Linked DNA regions of Danio rerio. The protein of the gene in region 1 interacts with the protein of each later gene in a pairwise test. Links are inferred from orthologs where the notes say so. Each region holds a gene or a part of one and is shown on either strand. Other genes may lie near its edges. The genes, in order: atpaf2, lrrfip2 and lzts2a.

Evidence for each region.
Region 2: the proteins of atpaf2 (region 1) and lrrfip2 interact in binary tests that used the Homo sapiens proteins (3 or more experiments, as listed by UniProt). The two-hybrid records come from large-scale screens. The link is inferred for Danio rerio from reciprocal best matches to the Homo sapiens genes ATPAF2 and LRRFIP2.
Region 3: the proteins of atpaf2 (region 1) and lzts2a interact in binary tests that used the Homo sapiens proteins (3 or more experiments, as listed by UniProt). The two-hybrid records come from large-scale screens. The link is inferred for Danio rerio from reciprocal best matches to the Homo sapiens genes ATPAF2 and LZTS2.

Annotation. Positions count from the first base shown.
Region 1 is NC_133187.1:20,032,386-20,041,097, forward strand, and holds atpaf2 (ATP synthase mitochondrial F1 complex assembly factor 2), read right to left. Parts: upstream 5,203-8,712; 5' UTR 4,959-5,202; coding exon 4,823-4,958; intron 4,743-4,822; coding exon 4,698-4,742; intron 4,587-4,697; coding exon 4,438-4,586; intron 2,497-4,437; coding exon 2,399-2,496; intron 2,310-2,398; coding exon 2,229-2,309; intron 2,134-2,228; coding exon 2,021-2,133; intron 1,931-2,020; coding exon 1,815-1,930; intron 1,734-1,814; coding exon 1,596-1,733; 3' UTR 1,314-1,595; downstream 1-1,313. UniProt on the Homo sapiens protein: Plays a role in the assembly of the F1 component of the mitochondrial ATP synthase (ATPase).
Region 2 is NC_133188.1:46,211,789-46,220,400, forward strand, and holds part of lrrfip2 (leucine-rich repeat flightless-interacting protein 2), read right to left. Parts: intron 6,979-8,612; coding exon 6,844-6,978; intron 6,114-6,843; coding exon 6,042-6,113; intron 2,438-6,041; coding exon 2,267-2,437; intron 362-2,266; coding exon 269-361; intron 1-268. UniProt on the Homo sapiens protein: May function as activator of the canonical Wnt signaling pathway, in association with DVL3, upstream of CTNNB1/beta-catenin.
Region 3 is NC_133188.1:20,792,355-20,801,066, reverse strand, and holds the start of lzts2a (leucine zipper putative tumor suppressor 2a), read left to right. Parts: upstream 1-3,360; 5' UTR 3,361-3,522; intron 3,523-8,712. UniProt on the Homo sapiens protein: Negative regulator of katanin-mediated microtubule severing and release from the centrosome. Required for central spindle formation and the completion of cytokinesis.

The DNA.
Region 1 (8,712 bases):
GACTCAAACCAACTGAGTACTGTAAAACTCAATAAATTAAGTCAACTCAAACCGTTTGAGGAAACCGATTGCAACAAAGCATTTAAGTAAAAAAAAAAAAATAGAAAAAATTATATTAGAAAAAAAAAAATCCGTATGAGTACTGTGAACTTACTCTAAGTTTAAGTATTTAATTAACTTATTACCTTCAACACTGAGTTCAAAACTCTTCAAATGAGTAAAAATAACTAACTGAAATTTTGAGTTAACTACACTTATTTAATTTGATAAAGTGAATAGAGCTCTGTGTGATAAAGCTATTTAAAAATATTTTTATGTGAACATTTTTAGAGGTAAATGTAGCTGTAAGAAAGAAACAAACATGTTCTGAAAGAGATCAAGCCTCAGCCAGGTAATAAAAAGTAACGCAAAAATTGCTTAAATGTAATGTAACGTATTAACATAAAAGGTAACACAACTAGTTACTTTTTATTCATTACTCAATATTGTAATGCATTACTTTCTAAAGTAAATTTCTCCAACACTGGTTTTGCATACATACTGTATATATACATATATAAATATATATATATATATATATATATATATTTTTTTTTTTTTTTTTTTTTTGGACGATCAGTGTTTGTAACTATTAACTTGCTTGTTATAAATCACCGGTTTTAGCTGAAAATTTTTGTACTGAAGAAAACAAAGCTATAAATCTAATGGCCTGAGGTGGAATACAATTTACTTTTTTTTTTTTTTTTTTGTATTACTTGTGGCCAGTTTTACCAGATTTCTCAGAGTGGAATGCTGAATGGGAACTGTATGAATCTTGTCCCTGCTAGCTAATGTGTTTTGAATACATTCTGACTTACTTTCGTAAGTTAAATGTAATGGGTGAGGCATCAGTTTATTTAAAAAATGTTTTACAGATTAATTGAGGTTTATTTGAGATTATTTGTTCATTCAGGTTTTTAAATTGCTTTAACTATAGTAAATCACAGACACCAGAACTAGCCTGACAGCACAGGCCCTGTCTTGACTAACTACACATTCTTCAATACAGAATTGTGAAATAAACTATGACATGTTTGGCTGCAATTGATTTATGTTATTTTTTATGTGACAGACAACTTTACTAGTGCTCAGCAATTGGCCATTTTCGGAAATGTTAAATGAGGCACAATTTTTATCTTTTTTTTTTATTGGAAAACTAGAAATGGAGCAGAAATCTAGTACTATCTCAGGAATAAAAAGAAATGCCTGGTCACTCTATTTTTGGGAGGACTATTTCATTTTGTAACTGTGTAGGAAAAAAGTCGTAGACACAATTAGATGTTTGTACTTTGTAATTTATTAAAATGTTTCTTTCTTTTCCCCAACATACAGCTTAAACATTTACATCTTTGAAATTGAGTTTGAAATACTGGGTTTTAGCATTTACAGTGTTTCCATGTGATAGCTGTTGACACTATAAATACATATCATGACCTTAGAAATCTGTATTATTTCTCAAAACATAACTACTGGTTAGATAACTAGTGTCACTGTAAAAACAAAAACAGATAACAATTCCCAAAGTTTCAGACCCACACAGTCTATTTTTGGCATTATCAGTCTTGTAAGATTTTTTTCTTCACAGATGTTTTTTCAGATGACAGATGCACAAACAATGCACCAGCCGCCGTTCGCGCTCGCAGCTCATACATGTCATAATCATGGACCCACTCCACATTTCCCCAGCTCCGAATCTAAGACAGAACACAATGTATAGTAATTATTACCACAGGAACAATATGGTCTCAATCTTAAAAGTAATTTAATCAAAATACCTGGTATTCTTCCTCAAGTCTGGACAACAGAACCGCTTCTTCCACATTTAGGTGTCTGTCAATCAGCGCAAAGGACAAAACCAGCGACTTCAGCTGATTGATCACAAACTCAAGCCCTGAGGAAAAATCAAGCACATTCACATAAGATTTACACAAAGTCTATTGTAAACAAGCTCATTTACATGAGATACAAAGAACCAACGTACCTGTCAGAGACCAGAAGTTGAAGGAATTAAGGTGCTGATGAAATGTCTCTTTAGTCTCTTCTGGGATTTGAGGGCCCATTATATTGGAGGACGAGCCAATGACTACATTGTACCTAAAAACAACAGTACGTTCTTATATACCAGTAAATTGTAACTTTTTGTAATTATTACACAATCAAAACTCTGACCAAAAATCTGTCAATTTTACCTTTGTTCAATCCAGTTCATCACAGGGTCCCATTCATTTGTCTGAAGTTCCACAAGGCCTGGAGGTTCTTCTACTCTGTAACTGCAAAGCGAGGTACAATTGATGTAATGAAACCTTAAAACCATCAGCTGATGCATAAATGAAATACTATACCTAATCAGTGAGCATACCAGATAGTGTCTGTTTCTAAAAACTTCAGAGCGGCAGAGATCATCTGTTCTTTTGTCCTTTGTGTTGGATTATCAAGAGCAGTGTTACAAAGGGTGGTCTGTAGGGACAGAAATCAGTCTATTAGATTCTGCTATTCATTTAACATTATGAATGTTGGGAATACTGGGAATGAATGTACTATCAGAATATACACACACTGATTTTATATGTACTTGTGACAATGTTTTAGATACATTATCCATTAGTATTTAATAATAAATATCTTTATTTAACCAGGTAAATCAATTAAGAGAACCAATTCTCATCTAAAATGACAACCAGGTGAAGAAAAAAGACACATGCAAATAATAACATATAAAAAATAGATAAATAAATAAAAAAAACTAGGAGCAAATGCAAATATCTTTAACTACATAAAAGGTCAGTTCACCCCAAAATGAAAATTATGTTATTAATAGGGTGGAACCGATTTGGAATTTTTGACCGACAACAATAACCGATAACTATTTAGAATGGGGTATATGCACACAATCTTTTAATTTCAGCCTAACAGGGCCTCCGTCTTTCCATTATAAAGTTGCCATGTTTGAGGTCAGTTTTTTTGTTTGTTTTTTAATCAGTGACCTTCACTGCCTGATAGATATAGATATATGAGTCTCAGACAAAAAGCACTGCGTTAAATTCTATTCCCCCGTCATATCTTTAAAATATAACAATTAATTTCACCCCAGTATAGGAGTTTCTGCGCTCGCCTGCTGATCCTGATGGCGCTAGCGGTTACACAATCTTTCATCTTGTTTTATGGTTGAACAACTAAATGAATGCTTGTATCTATTTAACTGAATGTTTTGTCATCAATGCATCGATAGTGTAAAACATCGATGCTGTAAAAGGAACCTTATGAAAATGAAAAGTCACATTAAGCTTTTTCAAAATGAAATGTGCATCTTGGCGTTTTCATCAACCGGTTTTCTATGCGCATATTGCAAAATTACCATAAAAATAGGTGGATGGAAACATAGATGAATGAATAGGAAAAGACACAATATGCAGACATTTTTTGCAATTTCTGCAGAGATTGATTTTAGGAGTATCATAACTACAGCATTAATATATTAAATAAAAAACAACACATTTTTTAATTTTATTTAATGTTTACAGTGCAAATCCAATTGCATCCACCTATTTGGTAAAGAAAGCAATACATCATATACCTACAAAAAGACAGAAAATATTACATTACTAACTGTATTGTTAATAAATCATATGAACATTTTAATAGTACTATTATTATAACACAATAATATTAGTGAAATTAATAAAAAAAAAAAAACTAAATAAATATAAATTCACACACAATTAAACAAGTGAATACAGTAAATACACCGAATGATGGGCTAAAGATCTGCGGAAATCTGCAGATTTCTGTACACGCATATTCCGTGTGGGCCTACTAATGAGGTGATAAACCGCTGAATGAAGTAAGTATTTTTTCTTTAAGTGTGCACAAAAGTACATTGCTGTCTATATGAAGGGTGAGTGAGCTCTCAGATTCCATCTAAAATATCTTAATCTGTGTTCCAAAGATGAAAGAAAGTCCCAGAGTATTGTTGTTGACCAAATTATAATTTTTGGCTGAACTACCCCTTTAACTGAATAGAATTTTTAAATGATTAAAATAGAATTTAAAAAAAAACTAAGCTTTCAGTTTTATTTATACCTAAAATCTGTACTTTTTAGGGGGTTCTTGAATGGAATCGTCTGCAGCAGAAAATTAAAAAGAAAAAACACCAAAAAAGTACAGATTTTGGGTATAAATAAAGGTACTAGTCTTGTAGACTTGTAATACTGTAAGTTTCAGTTCTGAAGAGTGTATAAAAATATGTGTTCCATGCTACTATGTATGTATTATAGATACATTTGAATGTACTCTGTAGACAGTTGTAGAATAAAACTTTCAAATATACTAGTAGTACTTGGGAAACCAAAATATAGTATAATAATAATAATATAATATAAATTAAAAATAATATCCTACCAAGTGCATAGTGTAAAACTTCAATGTGTCCTTTTGAACGTCCCACTCATTTGCAACAGCAATGGCAAGAGCTTCATTGGGAACTGTGAATAGTTTTCCACTTGGGGTCTTCAGCTTTCTCTTATCAAGGTTTATTTCAAACAAGCCACCTATAAACAAGAAAATCTGTGTTTTCATATGAGCAAACCCTCGATCTTCATCATTGAAAACATGTTTCTTTTAAGGTGCTGTTATGGCCATCAGTACTGAATGATGCTCACCTTCACCTTGAGTTATAGATACAGTCTCGTAGAACTTTTTCCTCTCTGCAAAACACAATGCAAGTACAAAGATATTAATATATTTGTTTATCATTTTAAGTTATTTTTTTCTTTTTATATCTTACCTGCTGTAGCACTGCTATATTTTGCCTTTTGTAGCTGTGTTGATAAACTGGGAACATGCTTCACGTAAGAAAATGAAAACGGCCAAATAATTGCCTGGCCAAACTTTGTGTGATACCGACATATATTTCGTAGCATATTTTAAACGTTATGTGTGTAAATTTGTATTTGTATTGATGCCACAGTTTAGGCGTGATAAGCCATTCAGTCAAGGTTAAAAAGCCGGATATGGTGTTATATTAAATTTGACAATGCATTTTTCATGTTTTAATCGTATAAATTACAAGAAATGAGTATATCTGAGATAAACTCAATTATTCAAGCAAATACACTAGAAGGTATTTAAAGGCATGCAGCAAAGTGAAAACAGCGTGCCGTAAAGTGGACTGACGATGACCTAAACAGGAAAAAGCATAGAGGATAATTCATAATAAAAGTCCATAGCTATATAAATATCTATGAGAAAAGTCCAACATTTCGAACATTCATTTAGCGCCAAACTTTCAGAATGGGTTACCAGGGACAAAAGAGAGTGATATACCTATTAAAATATTTTGATTTTAATAATTAAAAATAGCAATTGAATAATTAAAAAGATTAAAATAATTCTATATAGTTTTTAAATAATAAGCACACATTATAATACAAAATAAAAGAGAAACAGAAACAAATTGATAAAACAGCATAATAATTAAACGATTATTAAATATTTAATAGCATACAATACATTATTATATTTTATTTAAATAAAATAAAACAATAAATTATATATCAAAATAAAATAAAACAAATAAGAATATAATAATAAAAAATTTCAGTTTTCAAAACATTAACTTCAGGTAACTTCCTTAATTTTTTTTAACAAAAATGTTTATGTTTTAATGTGGGGGCAATGATATTAAAATGTTTGTGGCATCTAAAAGTTGGGCGGGAAAGTCCTGCTCTAAATATTAAAAATTAACATAGCTTTAAATAACTTAAAATATTTGTTAAAAATGTTATTCTTAAATACATTTTTTGGAATATTTAAATGAATATATTAGTGAATATTTATATGTTGCTACTATAAACTGGTTTATTCACCTTTCTTTTGCTTCAGTTTTATTATCTCTATCTTATATGTTTTTTTCTTTCTTTCTTTCATTAATTTGTTGGTTTGTTAAAACATGGAAAAAATTACACAATTTATAGAGCAGACATTTACATTACACTTAGTTATTACCTAATTATTTATCTACTATGTACAAGACAAATGCAAAAAGAATTAAATAATATCTTGTTTTAAAATCTTCATGTTTATTATCAGTTTGTTCTGCTTATTTAATTTATTTTATATATTCTAGAGAAAGAGAGAGAAATAAATAAATCAAATAAAAAGAAAAATAATACATAAAATAAAAATCATTAATTTCAAGTATACAAAAACCCTCCAGGGACACACATGAGTTGATGGGGCAGCAGTAGGGTAATGCACCAGAACTGATCTAAGGAACAGCATAGCGCCCTCTTTTGGTTGTGTTTCTGATTTGTTTGATTGTCCTCTGTTCTTCAGCATGATAAAAACATTTCATTATCAACATTAACTAATTCCACAATGAATATATATATATATATATATATATATATATATATATATATATATATATATATATATATATATATATATTGGCCTATATATTAGTGAAATAGACTAAAGAATCTAAAAAGGATTATATTGTTCTTTTGAAATATCACAGATTTCACCAATATATGAATAAATAAGAGATATAAATTGAAACATAAGTCTATAGTTTATCTATAGAGTAGTCTATACATGTAGCCTACAACACATTACAATATACATAGACCTACTGTATGTTTAGTTCATGTGTTGTGAGTTGAAAGTTTTGTGTGGAGTTTGCATGTTCTCCTCCCCTTGTTCGCATGTTTCCTGGATGCTCCGGTTTCCCCCACAAGACCAAATTGGGAAAGGTGAATTGGGTAAGCTAAAATTGTCCCAGGTGTATGTGTGTGAATGAGTTTGTATAGATGTTTCCCATTGATTGGTTGCAGCTGGAAGGGCATCCATTGCGTGAAACATATGCTGGATAAGTTGGCGTTTCATTCAGCTGTGGCGACCCCAGATTAATAAAGGGACTAAGCCAAAAAGAAAATGAATGAATGAGGGTTTTTTGGGGGGAAATTTACTTTCTCTGTTTATTGTGCAAGAGAACACAGTAAACATCTGAAACTTGAACAAAAGTCGAATCAATTATTTTCCCAATAGTATCTGGATACAGTCTTGGATATGCCCGTTTAGACACGTAGTTTCAGACATGCAGTCTCAGACACAATGCACTCAATAGAGCTAGTGACGTCACTGTGAGGGTTATGGGTTGTGTTAGGTGTGCGCATTAAAACAATATGGTACTACACGTTAGAAACATTCATTCATTCATTTTCTTGTCTGCTTAATCCCTTTATTAATCCGGGATTGCCACAACCAACTTATCCAGCACTTTTTTGCACCAGTTGCAACCCATTTCTGGGGAACTTCCACACTCAAAAAAATGATTTGTTGGACTTACATAAAAAAAGAGTGTCAAGTGGTTCCACGTAACTGTGTTGAGTAGTTTCAACAAGTAACAATATAGTTAAATGAACTAAAGAAATCCAGGTAAAGTTTACAAAATATTTCTTAGTACATTCAACCCATTTAGATGTGTCATTATTGCATTTTAGTTTTATGTATATTTTACTTAGTAATGTTATGTTAGAATTATGAACTTTTAGTATGTAAGGTGAACACTTTATTTATATATATATATATATATATATATATATATATATATATATATATTTCACTTCTAATGTATGTGCTCTACAAGTGTAAAACTTAAATAATCAAACATATTTTTAGAAACAAAATGAATTTATTTTCTTTGCAATGTTTTGCAACATACAACTGCTAAAAACCCATAAAACAATTTCAATTTCCTTTGAAACAAACACACTAAAACATCAGATGCTTTCAGTTAACATTTACAGGGTCTTTTAAAGTGCAACTGGCTTTAAGAATCTGAAATAATCTTACTTTGAAAAATATTGTACATGGAATGTTAAAATACTGCTAAAATTCATTTCTGATCTTTACAATCAACAGTGAGAGTAACATTAAAACTGGCCTCTATTTTTGTAAACATTCTCAAACAGTTCAAATAAAAGTACAAAAAGAAAGAAAAAAATGCAAAAGCAACATTTGGTCAATAGTGAACATTCTTACAATGTGCTACTTCAAATATTGGAAGAAAAATGTATAAGAGCAAATTTACAAAAGTAATTTGACATTTTTTTCCAGTGTCACAAAATGCTACAATGCTCAATTGCTGATATTTCAAAAGGTTTAATATATTGTTAAAGTATACAACTGACCTTTATTTATGAAAACCACCACAAAACAACAGCTTGTTTAAAAAAAATAAACATAAAAAAAATTATAAAAGAAGTTTTACTATTGACCAAAATGTTCTTTCAATATGTGCAACTGCAAGTAATAAATTTTACTTTGAACAAGAAAAGGAAAGTTTAAGACAAGCAGCATAAGAATTTAAAAAAAGCAAAGAAAAGAATAAAACTGAAAATCTGAATCTTTGTAAATAATCAAACAATTATAACCATTTAAAGATGTAGAACTCCATTTAAAACTTTGGTGCCATCGTTATAGATAACTTTAAAATTGGCCCTTAATTTTAAAACTAGAAACAATTTAAGTGTCTCAAAAAAGCTTCTTCCTCTATTTCTTTCATTCGTCCAGAATGATGTACTGATTCAGCCAACAAGTTTGTTTTTGAGAACTTGTATTTTGTGTGACAGTTTATGTGCAAGTCCCAGCAACACTTTCTGAAAAACTCAA
Region 2 (8,612 bases), on another chromosome or scaffold:
GCAGAGATTTAAAAGACACAACAAAGAAGAAATAAAGGAACATACAGGGACATGTGAAGGGAGAAAACAGGAGGATCTCACTGGGCGAAAGTGAATTTTATAAAGATTATGAACTTCATCCATGAAGAATGAAACAAACAGCACTTTCAATCACAACGATGATTCTGAATCATCTTTAACTTGATTATTCAGCAAAAGCTTTTAAATCAGAGAGTCTAATGTAAATTTTTCTGGTGGGTCGATAATATAACTTCTGTTCTGGCTTTACCTCAATGAGTTCATCTCGCTGACGAATGCCCTCTTTCAGCTCCTCTTGTTTGTGCTGTAGGACTGTACATGTGTGCTTCTGTCGCTCTAACTCCTGTCGATCACAAGAACAAAAAATATTCACATCCTAATCTGGCAAAGCTTCCAACATGTATTAAATACAGTGGGGGAAATAAGTATGGAACATTTCAACATTTTTCTCAGAAAACATATTTCCAAAAGGTGCCGCTGACGTGAAATTTTCACCAGATGTTGGTTACAGCCAAAGAAATCCATATACGCAAAGAAAACAAAACTAATTAGTTTACAAATCAAGTTATGTGTAATAAAATGAAACGACGCAGGGAAAAAGTACTGAACACATAAAGAAAGGAAGGTGTAGAAAGGCAGTGAATCTCTCAATACTTCTTCAGCAACCCTCTGCCCTTCGTCATTGTAAATGAATATCATCTGCTTCAGTCCAACATCTACATTATCAGGATGATGAAGATGAAACCAGGATGAACATTTCAGCGAGACAATGATCCAAAACAGAGCCAAGAAAACTCTCATATGCTTTCAAAGAAAGAAAATCGAGCGATAGAAAGGCCCACCCAATCAACTGACTTAAATCCAATAGAAAAAGACAAAATAAAGCTCAGATTTGAGAGAAAAAGACCCACAGAACTATTAAGATTTTTACACTCTGTGGAAGTCTGTAAAAAAAAAACTCACACTTGAGTAATTCATGTGACTTCATTCACATTTTTAAACTGCCATCATCATCAAAAAAAAAAAAAGCCTTTTATATAAAGTATTAAATACATTTCAGTAGTTCAGTACTTTCTCCTTGAGTCATTTCATTATTATATACACTCATTTTTTTTTAGAATTTTTTGTTTTGTTTTATTTTTATGTTTGTATTGTTTGGGTTTTTACCAAAATCTGGTTCAATCCTGTGTCAACAGCTCCTTTAGAAATTATACCCAGGACAAAAACATGACGTGTTCAATACTTATTTCTCCCACTGTACATCAGAACTTTCATTGCATTTTTGAACAGTTGGGTCTATGCACTGTGGTAATAACAGATCATACAATCAGGGCTTTACACTAACACCCGCCAAATGCGGGTAGATTTTAGCTTTGGCGGGTTAGACAGACACCTCCACTAGCCACTTTGGTTGGTTGAAAATTCATTTTAAATAGTAGCTTTCTTAAAAGCAGGGTTCGACAATAAGGATGACCCAATATTCGTGCAAATGGGATCTTAGAATTGAGAAGCAGCATGATTGAAAACTATAATTTTGTTTGTGTGGGCAAAAGAAAGCCGGTTGAATACTGAATGAGAGGATAATCACTCGCGCCAACAGCTGATGTGCTGTTTAAAACATGTGTGCGCTCCTGTTTCCTTGCTTGAAACAACCGTGCCTGGAAATGCAACTCAACTATCGATTCTCTTTCAGATAGACTAGACAAAAAGTTATGCTCATGCACCCACAGTCCTGCTGCTTTCAAGAGCTCCTTTTTGTAAGCAGCACCAGTTGCTTTCGATTGAACTATTATTTAAACAGGATATAGGATATTAACTTCCCATATATGTGTAGTATAGTATACAGCTATATTTTGCTTATTTAAAATATGTGGCTAAGAAATAAATATTTATTTATTTTAAAAATGGTTATAGAGATAAATTTGGTAAATCCTTTGAGCTCTGAAAAGTCATGTGAAATAAAAACTATTTGTAATGTGCTCATGCTCACTGAGCAAGCTCATACACAACATACACAAAAAATAACATGAATTAGGAGGCATGTGGATATTCCACAAACTCTAAACCAAGTAATTTTAGCATGCCAAAGTCATATTTATGCATACAAATTATATTTTGCCAACAACACATTGTGGCTAGTGATAAGAAAAGTTACTGTCAAGCCCTGATCACAATTCTATATTTATTGGATTAATCGTCTCAAAACGAATAATTTTTTCATAATACTGTACACATATAACACAGGCACCTTTGATTTGTCCTCCGTTTCCCTGCGCAGTTCGGACATTTGCTCTTCCATCTCCTCAATGACATCCTTGAGCGTGTCCACTTGATATATGAGGTTTGCTTTTTCATTGTCTAACTGGGCATTGGAAACCATGGCCTTCTTGTACTTCTCCTCCACTTCTGACAGAGATTCCTGATGAAAGCAGAGGAAATATCCTTACTGTGAAAAGCACTGGAAGAGCTTAATATGCTACAAAATCACTACAAGACTCGACAGGCAAAAACAAAAACAAAACAAAACACACACTGACCACTGCATTAAAGATTAGATAAAACTGTGTAGTGCAGGTAAAAGTAAAAGTGTAATCCATCAAAAAATACAGACATTTTTAAAGTCAACATAACATACATCGACTCGGCTAATATACGTTCCTGGTCTTAGTGTGCTTTTATAAAATAAGGCTTGTCTGTGTGATTCCTTCTAAATAGGAAATAACTTGCTCCTCCTGTACAGTTCCTTTGCTCCAATCACCTGTTCTGTACATTATCGTTCAAAGGTTGAGGTTGATAAGATTCTGAAGGAGATTTCTCGAAGCTAAATTTATTTAATGAAAACCAGGGAAAAAAAGTAAATACCATTGTAGCTTGAAATAACTTCTATTAAATACAGTATATATATATAATTTTTCTTGTGATTGTTGAGCGACCTTCACTTAATTTGGTGCTCTAGCATAGTGATTTTCAAGCTTTAACAGTGACCTGTTTTTATTTTCTCTTGAACCATATATTAAATGATTTACATAAAGTCAAGGCAAGCTTATATATTCATTACATATACTGACACTTAAGGTCTAACACATGGGAGCAAGGCTAGGATGGATAAAATAAGGAGGGTTGTGTGTTGATGCCATTTTCCCCTTTAAACTATCCCCCGGTGACCATTTTTCTCAAGTCTTATGATTGATGACATGAGGATTGATAACCTGAGCTCTAGAAACATTTCTTCTTATTATACTATATTATATTATATACTATATTATACTTAATTCATGTATTAATTTTCCTTCGGCTTAGTTCCTTTATTCATCAGTGGTTGCCACAGAGGAATGAACTGCCAACTTTCTCCAGCATATGTTTTAAGCAGCGGATGCCCTTCCAGCAGCGACCCAGTACTGGGAAACATCCATTCACGCTTATTCACACTCATACACTACAGCAATTTCAGCTTATTCAGTTCACCTATAGAGCATGTCTTTGGACTACGAGGGAAACAGGAGCACCCGGAGGAAACACACACCAACACGGGGGAACATGCTATATTATACTTAACACAGCATAATATTTATATGTAGATTATGATGCTTATTAGATAGTGTCTTGGTGAATAGAGTTCTACTTTTTTCATAACGTTATAACAGTCTTTACTTTCACTTTTTGACCAATTTAATTCACTCTTGCTTCGAAAGAATTTATTTTTTGGACATAAAACACTAACATTTGCGTTCTTATTAGGGCTGCAAGATATTGGAAAAATCTAACATTGTGATTTTTTTAATTTTGTGATATATATTGCGATGTAAATGCAATTTCGCAATATGACTAAATATCTCTATTTGGAAAGAATTTATAATGTTAGATTGATTGGGATGATTCTGCAGTGGGAGTGCATCTACATAAAATCTAATTAACAATCTATAAACTTCTTTAAGTCCCCCAACACGTTTTCGTTGTGGTCTGTGCTATTTGCAGTGCATTTCTGTATTTTCATGTATATCAATCTATAAATACAGTCAAGAAAAAGATTGAAATAAAGTGTTTTATTATTTCCCGAGTCTAACAGTATAAGAGTACAGTACACTGTATGTTAAAAAATAAGAATAATTCAATAAAATAAATAGCAGTTAAGGTGACAAATGGTAGTTTCTTATACCTGAATGTTTTTTTTAAATAATTATACACTCACAGGCATCAAAACACATGCCAATGATACATTTCAACACAAAATAAACATTGCATTTCTTGCGATGTGACTATTGTGAATGATCACATTGCGATATCGATGCTGAAAAGAATGATTGTGCAGCCCTAGTTCATAACTCTTCTACGCTCTTTAACTTTTCCTTTCTTTAACTATTTTTTCTTGATTCAACTCTTTCTTTATTAAACTTTATTTATTCAACTTAATCTTTATTTATTCAACTCCTGTATTTCTTTATTCAACTCTCTTTATTTCTCGTTATTCAACTCTTTCATGATTTAACTTTCTTTCTTTTTTCAACTTTCTTTCGCTGTTCAACTCTCTTTCTTCAACTCTTCCTTTCTTTTTCCAACTACTTTCTTTATTCAACTCTCTTTACTTCCCGTTATTCAACTCTTTCTTTATTTCCCGTTATTCAACTCTCTCTTTATTCAACTCTTCCTTTTTTATTCAACTAATTCTTTATTAAAATCATTATTTCTTTATTCCACTATCTTTCTTTCTTTATTCAACTTTTCCTTTCTTCAACTAATTTATTTCTTTATTCAACTATCTTTCATTAACCCTTTCTTTGTTTAGTAAACTCTTTATTTATTCAACTAATTCTTTCTTTTTTCAACTTTTCAACTATTTCTCTTTATTTAACTCTTTCTTTCCTCAATCAAATCTTTCTTCAACTATTTCTTTCTTTATTCAACTATTTATTTCAACTCCTTTCTTTATTCAACTCTTTCTTCATTTAAATCTTTCTTTTTTAAACTATTGCTTTCTTTATTAAACTTTCTTTATTCGACTCATTCTTTTTTTATTCAACTCTTTCTTTCTTTATTCAACTTTCTTTTGTTAATGAACTCTTTCTTTCCTTTGACTATTTCTTTCTTTATTCAACTCTTTCGTTATTCAACTTTCTTTCCTTGAACTCATTCTCTTTATTCAACTATTTCTTTCTTTATTCAAATTTTTCTTTATTCAACTTTCTTTTGTTGTTTAACTCTTTCTTTCCTTAGACTATTTCTTTCTTTATTCAACTCTCTTTCGTTATCCAACTTTCTTTCTTCAACTTTTGTTCTTTATTCAAGTATTTATTCAACTCTTTCTTTCTTCATTCAACTATTTCTTTCTTTCTTAAACTTATTCTTTCTTTATTCTTCTTTTTCTTCCGTTATTTAACTCTTTTTCTCCTTAGACTATTTCTATACTTTTTCAACTCTTTCTTTCTTCATTCAACTGCTTTAATTTTTTCTTCAACTCTTTCTTTCTTTATTCAACTTTTTTTCTTTATTTAACTCTTACTTTCTTTCTTTATTCAACTTTCTTTATTCAACTGATTCTTCCTTTATCAAACTCATTCTTTTGTTATTCAACTTTCTTTATTCAACTCTTTCTTTCTTTCTTTCTTTCTTTTTCTTCCATCCTTTCTTCCATCCTTTCTTTCTTTCTTTCTTTCTTTCTTTCTTTAAGATGTCTTGTTATGTCTGTATTATTATCAAAGTGATCTCCAGCATCCCAATATAAACTGCACAAACACAAAAATTCTTTACACAGTTGCATCTGAAACGTTCTGGTCAAAATCGTGTGTCTGCATTCTCCATCTTCTTTAGGAGAGGTTGGGTGCGAGACAAAATATGTCCATGTGACTTTGGCTCTTTGGAGAAATGATCTCTTTAGGCAACACAACAGAGGGCTAAACGTGACTGTAAAGAGCTAATGTAGTAAGTGAAAGACTCATGCAAGACTCATGCAAGACTAAAGAGTGCTAAGAGCCTCGTGTGTTAGTGGAGGAAGAGGGAAGGCATGCATTGAGCTCAGGACCCTCTACCTTTAGCTCTTTAAGACCCTGCATGTATCGGCCCTCTACATCCTGAATCTGGTCCTTTAGATCATAGATGTCCTGTTGAGATGGAGGAATGAATCATGGGAAAAGTTTGGCATTCGCTAAAGGTCAGAGCGGTGACCTCTTATCATACATTTTTGAACAAACATAAAGAGGGAGAGAGAGCTGTCCGAAGGCATTCAAACACAAAGAGGAAAGAATTTAAATAAAGACAAATAAAAAAATAAATAAAAACAAACACAAATAATACTGTGAAATGAACACAAATGGATACTCTGAGATCGTATGCATTTAATAGGAAAGTTTGAAGCTCGATGTTCAGCCAAAATATATTCAAAAGGCAGGTAGATTCATCTTGTTTTAAGAACTGCATAAACAATCCATATTACAGAGAGTTTATGTTTAATCTGTAAAGCAGCAACATTAGAAAAAAGCTTTTCTTAGAGTTTGTCTTGTTTCTTGCACAAATATCTAAAGCATAAATCCTAAAATCAAAAAGAATTTTCTAGACAAGTAAAAAAAAAAAATTTTTTGTTTTCAGAAATAAGCCAAAATTATGTGAGTTTTTCCTTAAGCAAGTTAAATAATAAGCCAGTGGGGTAAGTAAAATAACAAAAAACAAGACTATTTTAACTTAATTAGACTTATAATATAGACTTATAATATAGACTTATAATATAGACTTATTGATTTAAGAAAGCTCATATATTTGCACTAGAAACAAGACAAAAACTCAAAGTAAGAAAAGCATTTTTGCAGTGAAAGTCAATAAATGTGGTGTAATTACCCTTAATTCGCTAATAGAGGCCTCTGAATCCATAATGACACTTCCAGCATCTCCACTGCCTCTTCTGGAAGAGCTGCCTCCTAATGACGCCAGAGCAGCAGCAGAGAGAGCCGGTGTAGCACATCGGGAGGACGGCTGGAGGATACAGCATGAAACAATGAATAAAAGCAGTTTAACGACCTGAAAACATAATAAATGTTAAGATGTATATACAGTCAAAATTATTTATCTTTTTTAAAATATTTTCCAAATGATGTTTAACAGAGCAAGGACATTTTCACACTATTTCCTATAACATTTTTTTTCTTGAGAGAGACTTATTTGTTTTATTTTGGCTAGAATAAAAGCTGTTTAAGATTTTTAAAATCATTTTAAGTTCAATATTATTAGCCCCTTTAAGCAATATTGTTTTAGATTGTCTACAAAACAAACCATCGTTATACAATGACTTGTTTAATTACCCTAACCTGCCTAGTTAACCTAATTAAGCCTTTAAATGTCACTTTAAGCTGAATACTAGGTTCTTGAAAAATGTTTATTAAAATATTATGTACTGTCATCATGGCAAAGATAAATAATTTATTATATATAATATTATATATTTTCAAAAAGTTAGTAGAAACTAGTTATTTAAACTATTATATTTAGAGAAGTAATAATTGTAAAGATGTATTGAAAAAATCTTTTTTTTTCCGTTAAACAATAACAAATTGAGGGAAAAAATATACATAATTCAGGGGGGCCAACAATTCTGACTTCAACTGTAAGTGTGATTCATGAGTCCAGAAAATTTTAGTACAGCTGTTTTTTGATATTCAAAGGTTCATGAACCCCCCTCTTTTAATGCAAGGCTACAACAGAATTTGTAATAGAAAAAAGCAAAGTGGAGGGGGCAAAGCAGGAGAGCGAGCAACTGTTATCTGCTAGTGATGCATATGGACTCAGACCAAAATTCAGTGGTAAAATATGAGGAAATGCAAGATTTTTAAATTTAAAAAGTTATTCATTTTTAAATTTGACACACATATACATATTGTGAAGGGACAAAAATATCATCAGGCACTGGAGTGTTTGAAAATTGTGTCTGTCATTGTTTGAATGCTGTCAATCCACTAATTAATCAGCTGTTTGTGCGTTTTAAACATTTAAGTGTCCATCTAAGCTCAATTGTAAAGAGATGATCATTAGAGCCAATCACAGTCACATCTGATGAGCATGTGAACACAATGGTCAATCGGCAAACTGTATACAAATGCAAAAAACAGCGGGTTTAAGGTCTGTTTTCTTTAAAAATATGCGATCTCCACTGGCTGAGTGATATCCAATATAAAGTGGGTCTCAGATTGTACAAGCGCTGCATTAAATTACATTTTCCCCCACCATATCTTTAAAATATGAACAATTCTTTTACCCTAGTATATTCAATGGAGCTTCTGCGCTAGCCTGCGGATTCAGACAAACGAGTGCGAGTAAACGGCTTTTTGTCTCATTTTACACTTGAGCAGCTAAATGAATGCCAAAGTTTATTTAACTGAATGTATTTTAATTACAGTACAACATTGATGCTGTAAAAGGAACCATATAAAATGGAAAATAATTCACAATAACAGGTCACCGCAAGTTTATCAGTATAGGAACAACACTAGCTCGGCATTTACCATATCGATGTTTCACATATAACTCTGTATTATATTAAAATCTCAGAGTGTGTTATGATGATTTTAAGGAATTAATTGCATATTAAAACTAAACTAAAATATAGATAATAC
Region 3 (8,712 bases), on another chromosome or scaffold:
TGTAGGACTTTCTCTTGCAGATGCAAAATTTACAGCCGAGTATTTAAATAAATCATGCAGCATGACTTACTAAGGTTTGATGTAGCTAGCACATTTATCCACAAATGTTAAAATGATTAATCCCCCATTTTTGCTGCCTGTGTTTTGGTCTGATTATACAGTGCATCCGGAAAGTATTAATAGCGCTTCACTTTTTCCACATTTTTTGTTACAGCCTTATTCCAAAATGGATTAAATTCATTTATTTCCTCAAAATTCTGCACACAATACCCCATAATGACAATAAGTAATAATAACTTAATAACCTACAATAATCTGCATTTTAGCTTCTTACCGCTAAAGAAACTGAAAAAATAAAAACATACCTAAACATTTATTCAAATTTATTTGTAAATATTCAGAAATAAAACACACATTTTTTCTCTAGAGCAAACATTAAACACAAATAAAATGACCTTACCTTTCTCTAAACAATTTTAACTCAAATTAGGAAGATAGTCTAGCTTATTATACAAACAGAAATATAATAATTATAAAAATACAGAACATTTAACATGGCTTAAACTTTGCTGTTGTTTGCTACTAGATTGAGAATCACTAGCGATACCTTCAATTGACTTTTGAAAAAGAAACTCCTCATAGTCGCCTGTGGAGCTTTTTTATCAGCTAGTTGTTGTATTGTCAAGGGCAGCTCCTACAAATTTCCACTCTTTCAGTGTCAAAATATTCCCATATTACCGATGTCCTGTTTTTCTTTGATATTAATTTGTCTATTCATGCTTCTGAAGCAGCAGATGTCATCATCCTACTCGCCTGCACTTACCTGTTTGTTTTTTTATTGTGGGCGTTCCACATAGTTCCGTTGTGCAATTCTTATTGGGCAGAATGAAAGTAAGCTCACTAAATTGGCTAGTAAGACTGTCACACACAGACGGCAGTCACGCATTTGCTGTAGGCGGGAGAAATGAAATGATACGTATGTATTTCATATCGCAGCCTCTTGCGATTAGCCAATTGTAACATTTTAAACATTTCAAATAATCGCACAGCACTTGTGTCAAACATTGTAAAAAATTAACTGTTGCATTAATGTTCCTAATTTGACATAATATAAGTATTTCTGGGCTTAAAGTGATAGTTCATCCAAAATTTACTCATCTTTCACTTGTTCAAAATGTATTTGAGTTTCTTTTTTCTTTAAAAAAATAAGATATTTTGAAGAAAGCAGGAAACCTGTAACCATTGATGTCCATAGTTTTTCCTACCATAGAAATCAATTGTTACAGGTTTCCAGCCTTCTTCATAATATGTTATTTTGTGTTTAACTCAAAGGATCTATACCTTAGAGTGTTCATCTCAAACTCTGGCAACAATAATTTTCAAGGTATTTCATTTTGATTTGATTTGAATTGATTTATTCATTTTCGAAAATACATTTCAACATGGTCAAAAATGGAGCAAGATGAAGCACAAGCTTATTATTTTCCCACTCCATTACCACACATGTCATTCATCACTTAAACTTATTTCTTCTTTTACTTATCTCTTATTTTTACATGAGACACATTTAATCCTTTTGGCATCTTTGACATATTGTATGTTTGATTCTATTTGTACATTTACTTTTTATAACATAGACCCCCAAAAAATACATAGTACTGCAAATAGCCATTAATTTAAATTTCATCATACCTTTCTCATTTGATCCTTTTTCAATCACCTTCATCATTATATTCCTTTAATGATGTATAATTATACAAATTTTAAAATTGAGTAATATCCTGACATTGTTTGAAAATCTGTTCCAGAATGTTGCATAATTTCACACCACAAACAGACATACACAAACTTTTTAAAGTTGTCCTTGTTTTCAACCTCCTATTATGTTTTTCTCTCAGATTATATCCCCCTTGTCTTTCTTCAAAAAACTTTTGTATGCATTTAGGAAGTATTTTATTCCCAGCTTTAAACATTAATTGTGCTGTTTTAAATTCAACCAAATCATTGAACTTAAGTATTTTCAATTTAAAAAAATAAAGGATTTGTATGCTCCAAATACCCCACATTTTCTATCAGTCTAATTACTTTTTTCTGCATTGTACATAAGGATTGTAAGTAAATATATATTATATTGGGGAATATATATATATATATATATATATATATATATATATATATATATATATATATATATATATATTGGGGTATATGTATTCCCCCAAATTTCCACACAATAGCTCATATATGGCAACATAAGTGTGTTATATAATATATACATTGATATATTGTCCAGTATAAATCTTGCTTTTTACACTATTGCTACAGTTTTTACTATTTTTGATATTACATTATTTATTTGCGGTTTCCGCAACTAATTTTATGATCCAATATAAAACCAACAAACATAATTGCATAATCTCTATACTTAAATACTTTATTATCAATTTGGAAATCTATATTATGTCTACTTTTTAATTTCCCAGATAACAAAACCTTTTGTTTTACTTATATTTAATGACAATTTGTTTACGTCAAACCACAATTTCAATTTATTAATTTGTTTTAATCAACTCCATAAATTTTGGTAAATTATGCCCAGAACAAAATGATACTTGTATCATCTGCAAATAAAATAAGCTTAAACAACTCTGAAATCTTACACATATTATTAATGTAAATTATAAACAATATTGGACCTAAAACTGATCTTTGTGGTATGCCACACTTTGCATTTAAATATGATGATTTATGGTTGCCAATTTCCACAAACTGTTGCCTATTTTTTAAATAACTAATTATCCAATCCAAGGCTACTCCTCTAATACCATACCATACCATCATTTAAAGATGTGACATAAAGACAAATAAACCACAACCTGTCCTGATAAGGGAAATTTTCAGAAATGACTCTAAAGGACCTTAAACTTATTACACAACTGTCAAGAAGACAACAGAAGGCATATAGTCAATTGTACACTAGAGTTATCCAACAAAGTTTTGATTACACTGACAATTTAGAACCCTTCAAATCTTCTTATCAAATATGATACAGCCTGCCCAGTAAGTTTAAAGTAGCCACTGAATGTCAGACTTAAAAACTGCACAGCAGTCGTCCATTTTCCACAGACACTGTCGTGGTCAGAGATGAAGAACAGCAAAAGGTAGAAGAAAGACAAGGGGAAAAAAGGGAGCAAGTATGAGGAGGGATTAAATGTGTGTGAGGATGGGGGTGGTGGAGGAGGAAGGGGCCACAGACAAAGTGCGAATGGGAGGAGGGTAGCAGGAGAAGGGGGCGGTGCTGGCGGCAAACAGCAGAGGACGGGACACAGAGGAAGGGGGTTTCTGCCAGAGAAAAGAGAGCAAACTTTGGCATGAGGAGGAGGAGCACGGAGAATGAGCATGTAGGAGAGAAGCAAAGTGATACAGAGAGGAGAAGCAGCAGAAGTACAGTGAACTGACTGGGATTGTACCTCCAGGACAGGCTGGGGAGACGCGAGGAGGCAGCCATGCAGAGCACTATGGGTATGTCAGCAACACCACTGGATTTATTGCAGCCTGCGAATGCACGAGAGTTCAGATTACCACTGCAGCTCACGGGAGCTTTGAAGTGATGTGAAATGAATGATTAACTTTCTTAAAGCTGATAGGGTTTGGGGTGAGAAGACGCTCTTTGAAGTTTTAGCAGCACTGTTAGTGCTTTCTGCTGTGCGAGAATGTTAATGATACTGTGTTATTTTGGGGGCTGAGTAAGTTGGGCTTTTGTTTTGATTTATCAGAGATACAAAGATACAATAGTGAACTCTGTTGTGCTTCATTTAAGTTTGTCACCAGATGTCTCCTTTAAAATGTTTGAAGTAATGAAGACAAAATTAAGACAGTAAGACTGTTACAAACGTTGGTATCTTGTCAAATATTGTGCTCTTTTCTGGTTCTCCAGAGAGAGACATGTGAGATTCCCACAGGAAAACCATATAAGCAGCATGAGGCGTAAACAAAAGTCTCAGTTTACTCTCATTTTAACATCACTGTCCTCTAGAAGACATAAATGAGACGTCTTTTGTGTTTTTTGTCACCTATAGGTATTTATATCTGCTGTAAAGAGTGTTTGTTGAGCTTGTTAAGTTTTTGTGGCTGGTTTGTTTGTTTGAAAGCAGGGCCTTGCGAGTGGATTGATTTACAGGAGTCAACTAAGCGGTTTGGTTTTGTTTTGTGGAGACCATTTTGTGGAAATTCAATGTTTTGAAACTACACTTCAGGTTCATATATACTAAAACATTTTTTACAATTCTTTTAGGAGTAAAAAAAATAGAACTTTAAATTCAAAATAGCTTGGCGCTATTTTTCCTCTTTCCTAAAATTTGTTGAAATTATTCAAACAAATGTACAGAAATCATCTGATAATACTGATGTGAAAGTGTCCCCAGTCAATCACAGCAAAGTTTATATAGAGAAAAGGTGTCAGTGTTGCTCATTAATATTTTCAGTATCTACAGTAACTTTCAGAACATCAGTATCTACTAGAGCTGGGTGATATTGCAAAACATATTATCACAATATCATGTTTCATATCATCTGATATTGACAATTATCTTACAAAATACATTTAGGAATATTAGATTTTTTTTTAAACCATTTTATTTTAATTTGCCAACATTACTAAGGCAAATATGTTCAATAGTCAAAAACAAAAATATTTAAACAAAATTTCTGATCTCTTTATAATAAAATAAATAAGTGTTAAAGAGACTCCTAAACTTGATGAATAAAATGCTACAAAGTGTGTGCAATGATAAAGGTAGAACAACATCTGTAAGATGTCAATAATAATGATGCAGTAAAACTCAAATTATTTAAATACATATTATAACAATACAAATTGTTAAATACTTAAATGGCTACATTACCCCTACGCTAAAACATGTCTCAGATGGGGAGCTAGTGGCTAGGATGCACAAGAAAAGAAACCAAAAAGCCACTCTGGCGACATCTTTACATCTTTTATTGTTTATAATCTCCTCAATGCTGCTATATGGCACTCATTTTCGCATGTGTTGTTATTCTAACCTTAAGTAACAAGTGCACGCGCATGGTTTCTGGAATTGGTTCCAATTGGAATCTGGAATGGTTGCAGAAAAACCATTGCTGCAACAAGTTTATGGAGAAAAGTAAAAAGCACTGCAGTGTTTGGCTGCGCTGTGTTTGTCTGAGGTAATTAGTCTGCCGTTATTACTGAAATGTGTATATTCCATACAAAGTGTGAGGCAGATTGGTTAATTCTACTAGCATGAATGGCGGTGTGCTCTCAGCATTCAGAAAAGTTCAAATGTTTTTAACTACTGTAGATGCGGCTCAAAAATGTGCACGGTTCACATGTGTATGTGTGCACCACCTGCACAACATGGGCGCGTCGCTCAAGTCGCGCGACTTCATTGGAAATGACAAACTTTCACCCTAAACTTATTGGCACTGTTTCCAAGGCACACGTTCATCAGCCACTTTTAATAAAACTATAGTGCTTTATACCGGAACTAAATAATTCTAAATCGTTTTTTTATCGATATTGACAATGGTGGTTCCGTCAATAAATATCGATATCAATTTTATCGCCCAGCCCTAGTATCCACTATAAAACTGCTCTTTAGTGCTTGATTTTACTTGTGTTTGTCTGACAATGATGGATTAAACAGAGGAAATTAAATTCAGAGTAGTGTTAAAGCCACACCTACCTAGGTGGGTTGAAGGTCTTTACCAGCTGATGCAAACTTCTGTACATGGGAACGTCTCCCATATACAAAATTACTGAAAACAACTTTTCAGTAAAGAGTTCCAAAAGGAATCATTTATGTGTGTGTGAAATGCCTTTACTGTACTGTTAAAAACCATTTCCGCTAAAAAGAACCTTATGTTGACGATGTAAACAATGTTTAATGGAAGCATCAATGCCAATGAATTGTCTTTTTGATCTACTTTTTAGATCTTTGGACTAAAAATATTTCTTCTATGGGATCACTGTGAAACTCTCTATTAGGCGACTTTATGTTTATTGCAAATATTTAGTATATTTTTGCTTTTTTGTGACCATAAATTAAAAAGTAACATGACTTCTCAAAAACTGGCCCAGATTGGAACGTCCGGTGTCCAGAATACACACATACACACTCCAATCACTCTTCGCTCAGTGCTTACATAAAGCTTCTTCAAACTAGTCAAACACCACTAAGCTTCTTGCACAGCATGATACCTGATCTATTGACATTTTGTTTTCGAATGGGATGAAGTTTTGAATGAACCCCCCCATCCCCCCACCACCCAAGTATATTAAGATTCCCGTTTGTGTTTAAAGTGGATGTGACTCAGCTCATGGCACATTCTTATACAGTAAAAGCCTGAAATAGAGTGGCCTGTTACTGCGTGTCAGCAGCGTCCAGACTCTGCTCCGGATGAGATCACCTAGGGGGGTGGAAAGGTGCTTGCGTCAGTGAGTCGGAAAATAATAGATGAGTTAAATCACTCTCATATGTTAGAGGGCTCTGAAATACAGCGTTAGTAAATGTGGTCAGCGCACTGTCTTCGTAAGGACACTACGTGCCCCGCCGGCTAGCCTTGTCTCACAGGTTTAAGGTCTCTAAAACACCTCGTTCTATCATTTTTACTGTTTCCATTTATGAGAAGCCTTTATACGCCAAGTGTTTATGTAAGACTGTAGCTTCCTGCAGACGTATATACAGAGGGAGAGCTCATTAACGTCGAGTCAGTCTCTGCTAACTGCACTGAATCACAGCTTTCCATGCCACTCTTTTTGCTCCCTGTCTGAGCTCGGCTGGAATCTGTCGGGATGGTGTCTCTATATGTCCACATCCTCTTGTGGCTGGTCCCCCTGTGGCATGTTTGCAAGTTTTCACGAGCAGCTTCAAGGTTGTCTTTTTTCTGTTTGTGGCTCCTGCGTGGTTCACCATCTCTGCAATTTTGTGATGAATTACATATTCATGCTGGCATAGTTTGTCTGAGGCCGCTGGTTATGTAAGCGCTGGTGTGGAATTAATTTAGCAGTATGTGCGTTGTGCCACTTTTTTTCCCCCGACTGCAGTGCATATCTGCACTGTGATTTCAGTTTGATCATGAGACTGATGATTATGGCTTGTCAGAAACACCGCAAGATTATTTATTTGCCTCTTTATGCTGATGCTTGGTTCAGAAAGCATCGACAGGAGGCGAAGAAGCCATTTTGAGAAGATCAATGGCCAAAGCTAGTAAAGAGCTACTTTAGCTGGAAGAATTTACAGAGGCTGCACTTAAAAACATATACATGGTCTTTTTAAAGTGAGTAACCAGCTTTGCAAAACACAGTTAATGTTCTACGTTACTCATTTTGTCCTTTAAGAAATATATCATTCAAATTATTAGTTAAGAATTGTAATTTGTGGTTCTCAGTAGTTGAAATCAATCATCAAATTCAGATAGAATGTTTGACCTGCCGACCCATCTATGTATCTGGCTTAAGGCTGATTTATACTTCTGCGTCAAGCGGTAGCCCTCTGTAGCCCTCGCCGTGGCCGTCGCTGACGCGCACTTTTTAAAAAATGTAACAACACATTGCAACAATACATAGCGCAAGCTCTGTGATTGATCTGATTGGTAACGCTGATGACAGTGGGTGGGATCAAGAGCAACGCGAACCTGTTGGAGTGAGTGTTTACAAGTGTCGAGTCAGTGAAGGAGCTCCAGATGTAAAGTTTTGTTTTGTGTTTACTTTATGATTTAAGTTATGGCATGTCTGCCGGTTCCCGCCTCAAAATGAGCGAGTTTGCACTTCTGCATTTGTTGCCTTGTACTTGTATATGTGTAATGACAATAAAGTTGAACCTAATCAAATCTACTTTCACAAAAGGATAGCGTTCAGAAAAAACAAAACAATAGCGAAGAAAAACAACACAGAGGAACATAAACACCTGCTGCCAGCTAGCATTTCGGAAGTGTTATCGCAGAGCAACACAGAAGTATACGGCATGAGCCGTGGGTCATGCCAATTACTTGATCCAGAAGTATAAACCAGGCTTTAAAGAGCACCCATTTTACCCCTTTTTCAAAATTTAAGATACGTCTTTTGTGTCTCCAGAATCTTTAAAGTTTGACCTCTAAACACCCATCGTATTATTTATTATACCTTTCAGAATATTGGAATTTGCTGCTCTGAACATTAAGCAGCTGTTTTTGTTTTTTTTTGCCTGTGCCTTTATTGCTAGTTCTCCCCGCCCCCCGTTCTAATGAGCATGTCAGAGTGTGCCTCAATCTTTGCTTCGGCTGCATCAGATAAACAGCACAGTGACAGACATGAAGGAAGTAGAGAAATACTACAGTAAGAACTTTCACAATTATTATTTATGCAATTTTTGTGGAGTCACAAATTATGAGTCACACACAATTTCTTTACAAATTATTTTTTTTTACATTAAAAAGTTTGAAGAGCCATCAGTTCATGGTCATTTATTTGGGCATTAGTTTGTCCTTATGTGCTCTTTTATAAAAACCAAACTGAAGGTCTGGATTTCACTCTCTTAGATCAGTATGTTTTTTTTCAGACCATACTCAGTACTTTTGAAATACTTCTTCACTTTATTACCATCCTATCAGTGGCATCTCCTCAAAATGGCCACTCTCACAGTAATAACAGTGTGGTGGAGCCACAGCTCCTCTCCGTTCTGCTGATATTCC